Callithrix jacchus: one gene and its partner. The protein of the gene in region 1 purifies or fractionates together with the protein of each later gene. This does not show direct contact. Links are inferred from orthologs where the notes say so. Each region holds a gene or a part of one and is shown in the gene's direction. Other genes may lie near its edges.

Region 1 (3,825 bases):
AACCAGTAGATTCACGAAGCTAAATAAACACCAAATAAGATAAACCCAAAATCCAGGCTCATGATAATCAAAATTTCTGAAATCTTAAGAACCCCATTCCTCCTGACAAAGTCTTAAAAGCCTCTCAGTGAAACAACACATTACCTTTAGGATGATAATAATTTGACTGAAGTGAGTGCCTTATCAGAAGCCAGGGAAGCCAGAAAGAAGTGGCATAACATTTTTCAAATGCTGGAAGAAGAGAACTGTGAACCCTTCTGCAGCAAAAATACCCTTCAGGAATTAAAGTAACATAAGGACATTTTCAGAATGAAACTAAACTAAGAAATTTATCCCCAGCAGTCTTGCTCTCAAAGAATTTCTGTAGGAAGTCTTTCAAACAGAAGGGAAGGGATAAGAAAACTTGGAATATCAGGAATGAATAAAGAACAGCAGAACGGTTGAATATCTGAGAAGACTTTTGTCCTGGGTGTTTAAAATTGTGTTTGACATTTGAAACAAAAGTTATAACATTTCTGAAGTAGTCCTGGTATGCAGTAATGATATTTAAGATAACTCTTTCATAAAGAGGGAGAGAGTAAAGGGATATAATTTTTGGTAAGGTTTCTGTATTCCACTTGAAGTAGTTAGATGTTGATACTAGTAGACTGATAAGTTATGTATATTATAATCCCTAGAGCACGCATCAAAAAACTATAATGAGAGGCTTAAGAAACTGTAGATATTTTAAAATACAATAGTAAAAATTGCTCAAGTAGCCCACAGGAAGGTGGGAAAGGAGAAACAAAATTAATGATAAAATGCTAGACTTAAATCCTAACATTATAAATAATTACATTAAATGTAAATGTTCTAAACACATCTGTTAAAAGATTTGCAAAATGGATATAAAACCACTATGATCCAAGAATATGCTTCTATAAGGAAATCACAGTTATTTATTTAGAGACAGACCATTACTGTGTTGCCCTAGCTGGAGTACAGTGGTGAAATCTCAGCTTGTTGCAGCTTCCGCCTCAAGCAGAGCTTGAAGTTCAACTGTTCTCGTGCCTCAGTCTCTCGAGTAGCTGGGCTTAGAGGCATGCACCACCAAACCTGGCTAATTTTTGTATTTTTAGTAGAGACGGGCTTTTACCACATTGGCCAGGCTTGTCTCAAACTCCTGACCTCAGGTGATCCGCACACCTCAGCCTCCAAAAGTGCTGGGATTACAGGCATGAGCCACCGCAGCCAGATGCAAATCACTTTCTTATAACGACACATTATGCTAAAGGTTATCTATTAAATAATCTGCAGTAAATCTCATACTTCATGGTGAGATTACAGAAGCTTTCCCATTAGAGTTAGGGACTAAACTGGAACGTTTCTATCACTGCTTCTATTCAACAATTTAAAAAAGGAAATAAATAACGGAATTAAAAAGGAAGAGATGCAATTGGGTTTTTTTGATTATTAGAAAATCCAAGAGAACCTGCAAACTTAACACTGATGAGAGTTCAGCAAAGTTACTGGATATAAAATTAACATGAAAACTACCCATTTGTCTAGTAAAAAGTAAGTTTGAAAATGTGATAGCAGCAAAGATACTATTTACATTAGCAGCAGTAGCAACAAGAATTGTAACTAAGAACATGTTTATTAAAGATCTGTAAGATTTTAATAAAGAAAATTTCAGAGCAGAATAAAGGAAGACCCAAATAAATGTTGCAGTATACCATCATGATCTTGGATTGGAAGGCTGAATTTTATAACAATGTCCAAATTAATCTACAAGTCCAATGCATTTCTGTTTAGTTCCCTTTCCCTCACTTTATAGGGAATGGAACCTGCAATTTATATTTGCAAACAAATATCCATGAAGAGTCAAAATATTCCTGTATAGGGAGTAGTTGGTGGGTGGGGGACAGGAGAGAGAGAGTTCCAGCTGTGGTAATTAAGTTGGGATAATAAGGGCACATGTATAAAGATCAGATGTGGCATTACAAATCAATGGAGTTAGGGAAAATTTGGCTCTTAAAAAAAAAAAAAAAGCCAAGTGTGCTGGCATGTGCTTGTAGTCCCAGCTGTTTAGGTGGCTGGTACAGGAACATCTTTTGAGCCCACAAACAAAAACACACACTGGTTTGTGTCACCTGAGATGTTGCAACAACAACTGAAAAGAAAACATATCAATGGGGTAAGCATGGACTAAGTAAGAATATTACTAAGATTATTGGTTATTCACATGATAAAAATGAAAATAAAAGTAGATCTTGACCTCACTTCATGCTCAATGATTAGATTAAAGAAATATATATAACATGTAAAACTTTATAAAGACTGTGGAAGAATATACCAAAGAATAGGAAAGATTTCATGAAGAAAACTCAGAAGCCTACCATAAAAGGAAAGATTGACAGATGTGACTACATTAAAATTAAACAAAACACCTCTATGTAGGAGATGTCATAAACAAAGGGGAGAAGATGGGCTACAGACTAGGAAAAGATATATTCAACTCACATAGCTTAGAAAGATTTAGAATCCAGAATATGTAAAAAAAACTTGCTAGTTCATTTTGGATTTAATGTTTGGTTTAGGTTTTTAAAATAATGCTTATTTTTTCATTTTAGTAGAAGAAGTAGAAGTAGAAAAATTAATTTATCCAATTTTTATAAATTATGATAGTTAATATTTATTGATAATGTACTATTTTAATACTTTGTTCTTTAATACTTTGATCTTTACAGCAACTCTGTGAATTAGATGATATTTCTATTATACCTACTTTACAGTTGACAAAACTTAGACTGAGGGAGATTAGATATTTTGCCAAAGATAACACTAATTTGGTCTCTGTAACACCAGAGTCTGATCTTCTGAATTGTGCCACAGTTCTGGTTAAAGATGAGAAAACTGAGGCTAGAAAATTTATGGAGATGTTTATATGATGAACTTTGCCTAACAGTTATTGTCATTTGGAGCCAGGATGTTTAGATTCCACTTTGGTTCCTATTGTTTATGAAGTACATTTCATGTTTTTTGCTTTGTTTTGTTTTAGTATAATGCTTCATCCCAGCAGCAAAGAGAAATAATTAAAAGTAGGAGCCTGGACAGGCGACTGCAAGAGCCAATAGTATTAACAAAGTGGAGACACAGCACCATTGTATTGGACACTAATGACAAGGTAGGACTGTTGAGATTTTTGGCAAGTTCTTTGCATTATATTGTACAGTGAATTATAACCATTTGTACTAATATTTTATGTATTTAATAAATATAATTTTCTAAAGCATTTGATTTTTTTAAAACTAAGCTCTTGATGTGCATGTATATTGAAATGTTTCTACATTATTTTTTTCTTTAACCAAATTGCATACCTTAGTGACTACATATTTATGTATTTAGCATCAGTTTGTCATGAAGTAGGTTTTGGTTTTTGCACAATGGACTGAATTATCTGCGGCTTACTGATGTGTATACCTTGATACATTTGATCCTAGTAGATGACAGATTTTTCTTGCTTACCTTATTTTAAAGTCACATTTCTGTATCCTTTGTCTTCAGTCTCTAGGAGATTTCTTAGGGAAGACATTTAATTAATTTTCCTCATCCCAGGGAATATTGGAATTCTGTTCCCTTTGTTTCTCTAAGTGCTCTCTGCAGAAGGCAGTTCTATTATCAATCTGATAAGTCATGTTCTCTGTTTATAGGGATTAATTTTAATGCAAACATTAGAATGGATATTTTAAATACTTCTTTAGAAGTTACTTATTCATAGTGTGGCTTCATTTGGGGGATACGTTGGGAACTTAGTATGAATTTGCAGAAATTTAGGCATACTGA
Region 2 (3,825 bases), on another chromosome or scaffold:
GCCATTCCCATTTGAAGTGATGCTCACATGTGTCCTAATCAAGTTTGAAATTTCATAAATTCTCTGACCAAGTAATAAAAATGAAGGGACTTTTAAAAGAAGAGCAGAATGTGATGTGTGCAGCCCTACATTCACTTCCCTTTTACTTCTAACGTAGTAACTAGTGTTGTATTCCAAGTACACTAATCAGAGCTTACAAGATCTCATGCTGAGCTCCACAGCTTACTAAGGACGTGGGAAACTTAGAGTGCAGATGAGAGGTGAGGTTGAGCAACTTGGAGAATATGGCTAAAAATTAATAAAAAGAAGAAAAGCGAATAGAGTCGGAATTACTTAGAATAAAAGTTGAGTTGTGTTGGGAATGTGCCATTGTTCTGAGAGTTTGAAAGGGTGATGTGGGAGCATTAGGGAATTTGTCTAGGCCTCTAGAATTGGATCGCTTGTTCCTGGTGGAGATAGCTCAAACATGCAGCTGTGCTGTAGGGAGGAAAGAGGGAGATTCTATTACCTGTGGCCCCTTTTATTCTAGAAGCTTTTGGTGCTAGTATCCTGTACACCAGCTGAACTGAGGTAGTTTGGTGAGACTTTACAGTGACTGTTTTGTTGCAGAATTGACTAAGTCTTGCTCTTTGAGAACTAGATGTTTAGTCAAAGTATCGGGCATCTATGGAATGCTTCCAGTTTGGATGACTCTTCACAAGCTTCCCTGGGGAGAGCAAGTTGAGCAGGACATAGCTTCTGCCTTTGAGGGGCTGAGAATCTTGTAGAGTCGTGGATGGGGGTGTACACAAGGCAGTGTGCATGTGTTAATATTACTAGGAGAGTGGTCCCAGAAGAACAGGCTGCAGAGGAGCTGGATTCAGAAGAAAAGCAAGACAGTCTGAGAGAGTATGGCTCAGCCGTGGTATGGAGTATGGATGGTAGCACAGACAGGCTACCGGGCCCCTAATTCGAGTTCCTGCACAAAAATGAGCATAGTACCAAAGCCGCCAAGTGATTTCAGGGAGAAAAATGAAAGATGCCTTCCCTGGCGAGCACATTGGGGTTTTAGTCACTTGGCTGTGCCCTTGGGAATTTTCTTGAGGCCACACTCCTGGAGCCATGTCAGACCCCACTGACCCTCCGACACAAATTCCTCTAGATGGAAGGGATGGATGATGACCCCGAAGACCGCATGTCCTACTTAACTGCCATGGGCGCGGACTATCTGAGTTGCGACAGCCGCCTCATCAGTGACTTTGAAGACACGGACGGCGAAGGAGGCGCCTACACTGACAATGAGCTGGATGAGCCAGCCGAGGAGCCGCTGGTGTCGTCCATCACCCGCTCCTCCGAGCCGGTGCAGCACGAGGAGGTGAGGCGAGGCAGGCCACGGGCAGGAGCAGGAGAGCCTGGTGTTTTCCTTGCACTCTCATGGACAGCTGTGTGTTCAGGGTGCTGTGGAAGGCGTTCCTAAGGGATGGAGCAGATGACTTCCAGGGTATCTCGCTCTGAGTCCACACTGGCATGGTTGCAGTCTGTGGGAGAGTGGGGCAGGCAGGTGGGTTTCAGAAGAGCTTGAGTGGTCAGCACTCCTCACACCCACGCCCTCAGGCGTGATGGATAAACAGAATGGCTTTATGTGTCAGCTGTCCAAATTACCAGAGGAACATTCCTTCCCATGCAGTATTGTTGTATGTGCTTGTAACCTTTGATTAGGTTTCTCTCTGTACTCTTAGATGTCCTTGCTTTCCTTCCCCATCCTGCCTTTAACCTTTCTAATCTTGCCAAAGCTCTTGAGTATTTCCCTATCAGTTTCCTTCTCTCTTTTATATTTCAGTTTTTTAATTGAGTTCATGATCAGACATTCATCTGATCACATGTACTGTGCATCCACTGTGATTAAACAGTTTACAGGATCCTTATACATTGAGAGACACTGTAAAGTCACCGCCAGGTTAGGACCAGAGCAATTATTAGTTGCACCTCAGAGAATGTTGGAATAAAATGATCTTTGTAGATGAGATTGGGCGTATATTTGGATAATTATTGCTGTGGATTTCTCTTTACCAATTTAGCTCGTTCCAGTCAATGATTTTTTTTCTTTCTGAAATAGAACTATTTAAAAAAAAAAAAAAAAAAAAAAGACCCAACAACAACAAACTGAAGGGGGGGAAAAATACACCATCACCACAGCAACAAATTAGTTTATGCTAGACAAACTATAAAGAATAAATTAACTCCCAGATGTCTATAGACTAGATGTTGTTAGTGACACAAGAGATTTTAGGCTTTTGGAGGGTTCTTTGAAAAATGTGCTTTAAAGGAAAAGATTCTACATTGGATGCAGCCACTTTTTAAAAATGTGTCTGAAGCATTTGGTGATGGTGTCTGCCTGTTCAGTAAAGAAGTACCGGCTCAGGACCTCAGCTTCTGAACTTACTCAAGTTTGCAGAACTCCTGCAAAGCAGATGAGTGCTCTGTTCTCTCTGCTTGTATGCTCTTGTTGTGAATAAACCTTTATGTCTTGTAGAGCATAAGGAAACCCAGCCCAGAGCCACGAGCTCAGATGAGGAGGGCTGCTAGCAGCGATCAACTTAGGGACAATAGCCCGCCCCCAGCATTCAAGCCAGAGCCACCCAAGGTACGTGGCTGGGAAGCCGAGGATGGGAAGCAAGAGGAAGCAGGTGCCTCTGGGGTCCTGGACAGCCAGGGAGGAGCATGCCTGATAAGATGGTGTTTAATTACAGTTGTAACTCATTAGTCAGTCTTTTGGCCTGTTGGGTGAACCCTCAAATTAGGGAAGGGCAAAAAAGGAAGGAAAGGCAATACTAGGAGAGCACATACTTTTAGGACTGTTAGTGTTTGTTTAATCTACTTTTTTTGTTGTTAAAAAAAAAAAAAAAGATTGTAAAGACAAAGATTTTTAAAAATGCTGCATGCCCAGAATCACCAATTGCAGAATCTGTTTTTCTTTTGCTGTCCAGCTAAAGTTTTCTGCCCACAGACTGATTTAGATGCACCAGATAATTCTTACTGGTGATTTGCTAAAGAGAATATCATCAACATTGCTTGCAATGCCTCTTGTTAAGAGAGCTGCTTATTTGTTTAATAAATTATTACCAAGAACAGAATCAATATAAAGACACAAAGATTATGTCTTTATGTAATCAAAATATTATTTACCTTCAGTCAGAATCAGAGCAATGACTCTATGCTTTTCCTTATAAACAAATAAAATCTATTTGACTCAATAATTTATTTTATTATTTATTATTATTTTTTGAGACAGAGTCTCACTCTGTTGCCCAGGCTGGAGTACAGTGGCACAATCTCAGCTCACTGCAGCCTCCACCTCCTGGATTCAAGTGATTATTCTGCATCAGCCTCCCAAGTACCTGGGACTTGCAGGCATACACCACTACATTCAGCTAATTTTTGTATTTTTAGTAGAGATGGATTTTGACATGTTGGCCAGGCTGGTCTCAAACTCCTTTCCTCAGGTGATCCACTCATCTTGGCCTCCCACAGTGGTGGGATTACAGGCATGAGCCACCACGCCCGGCCTAACTCAATAATTTAGATAAGAAGAAAGCAATAATTGATTTTGTGAGCTGTCAGAAGTAGTAAATATGATAGGTTCTGAGTAATAATAATAATAAGTGACCTGAGTAATAATAATATGACCTCATAAAATGCATCAGTGAAAATTTACAAGCCAGACAAGACTGGAAGTATGAAGGAGAAGTCGCTGTTAGTGTGAAGCCGTGCTCTCCTTGCTCCCCACCCCAGTCTCATTCCTCAGCTTGACCTGGGTCTCACCTCTGGGCCGGCTCATGCACCCTT

Evidence for each region.
Region 2: the proteins of ARHGAP12 (region 1) and TJP2 purify together in Homo sapiens (co-immunoprecipitation; 3 studies listed by BioGRID and IntAct, with this or other methods). This does not show direct contact. The link is inferred for Callithrix jacchus from reciprocal best matches to the Homo sapiens genes ARHGAP12 and TJP2.

Annotation. Positions count from the first base shown.
Region 1 is NC_133508.1:31,608,058-31,611,882, reverse strand, and holds part of ARHGAP12 (rho GTPase-activating protein 12), read left to right. Parts: intron 1-3,040; coding exon 3,041-3,166; intron 3,167-3,825. UniProt on the Homo sapiens protein: GTPase activator for the Rho-type GTPases by converting them to an inactive GDP-bound state.
Region 2 is NC_133502.1:95,851,733-95,855,557, forward strand, and holds part of TJP2 (tight junction protein 2), read left to right. Parts: intron 1-1,141; coding exon 1,142-1,354; intron 1,355-2,512; coding exon 2,513-2,623; intron 2,624-3,825. UniProt on the Homo sapiens protein: Plays a role in tight junctions and adherens junctions. Acts as a positive regulator of RANKL-induced osteoclast differentiation, potentially via mediating downstream transcriptional activity.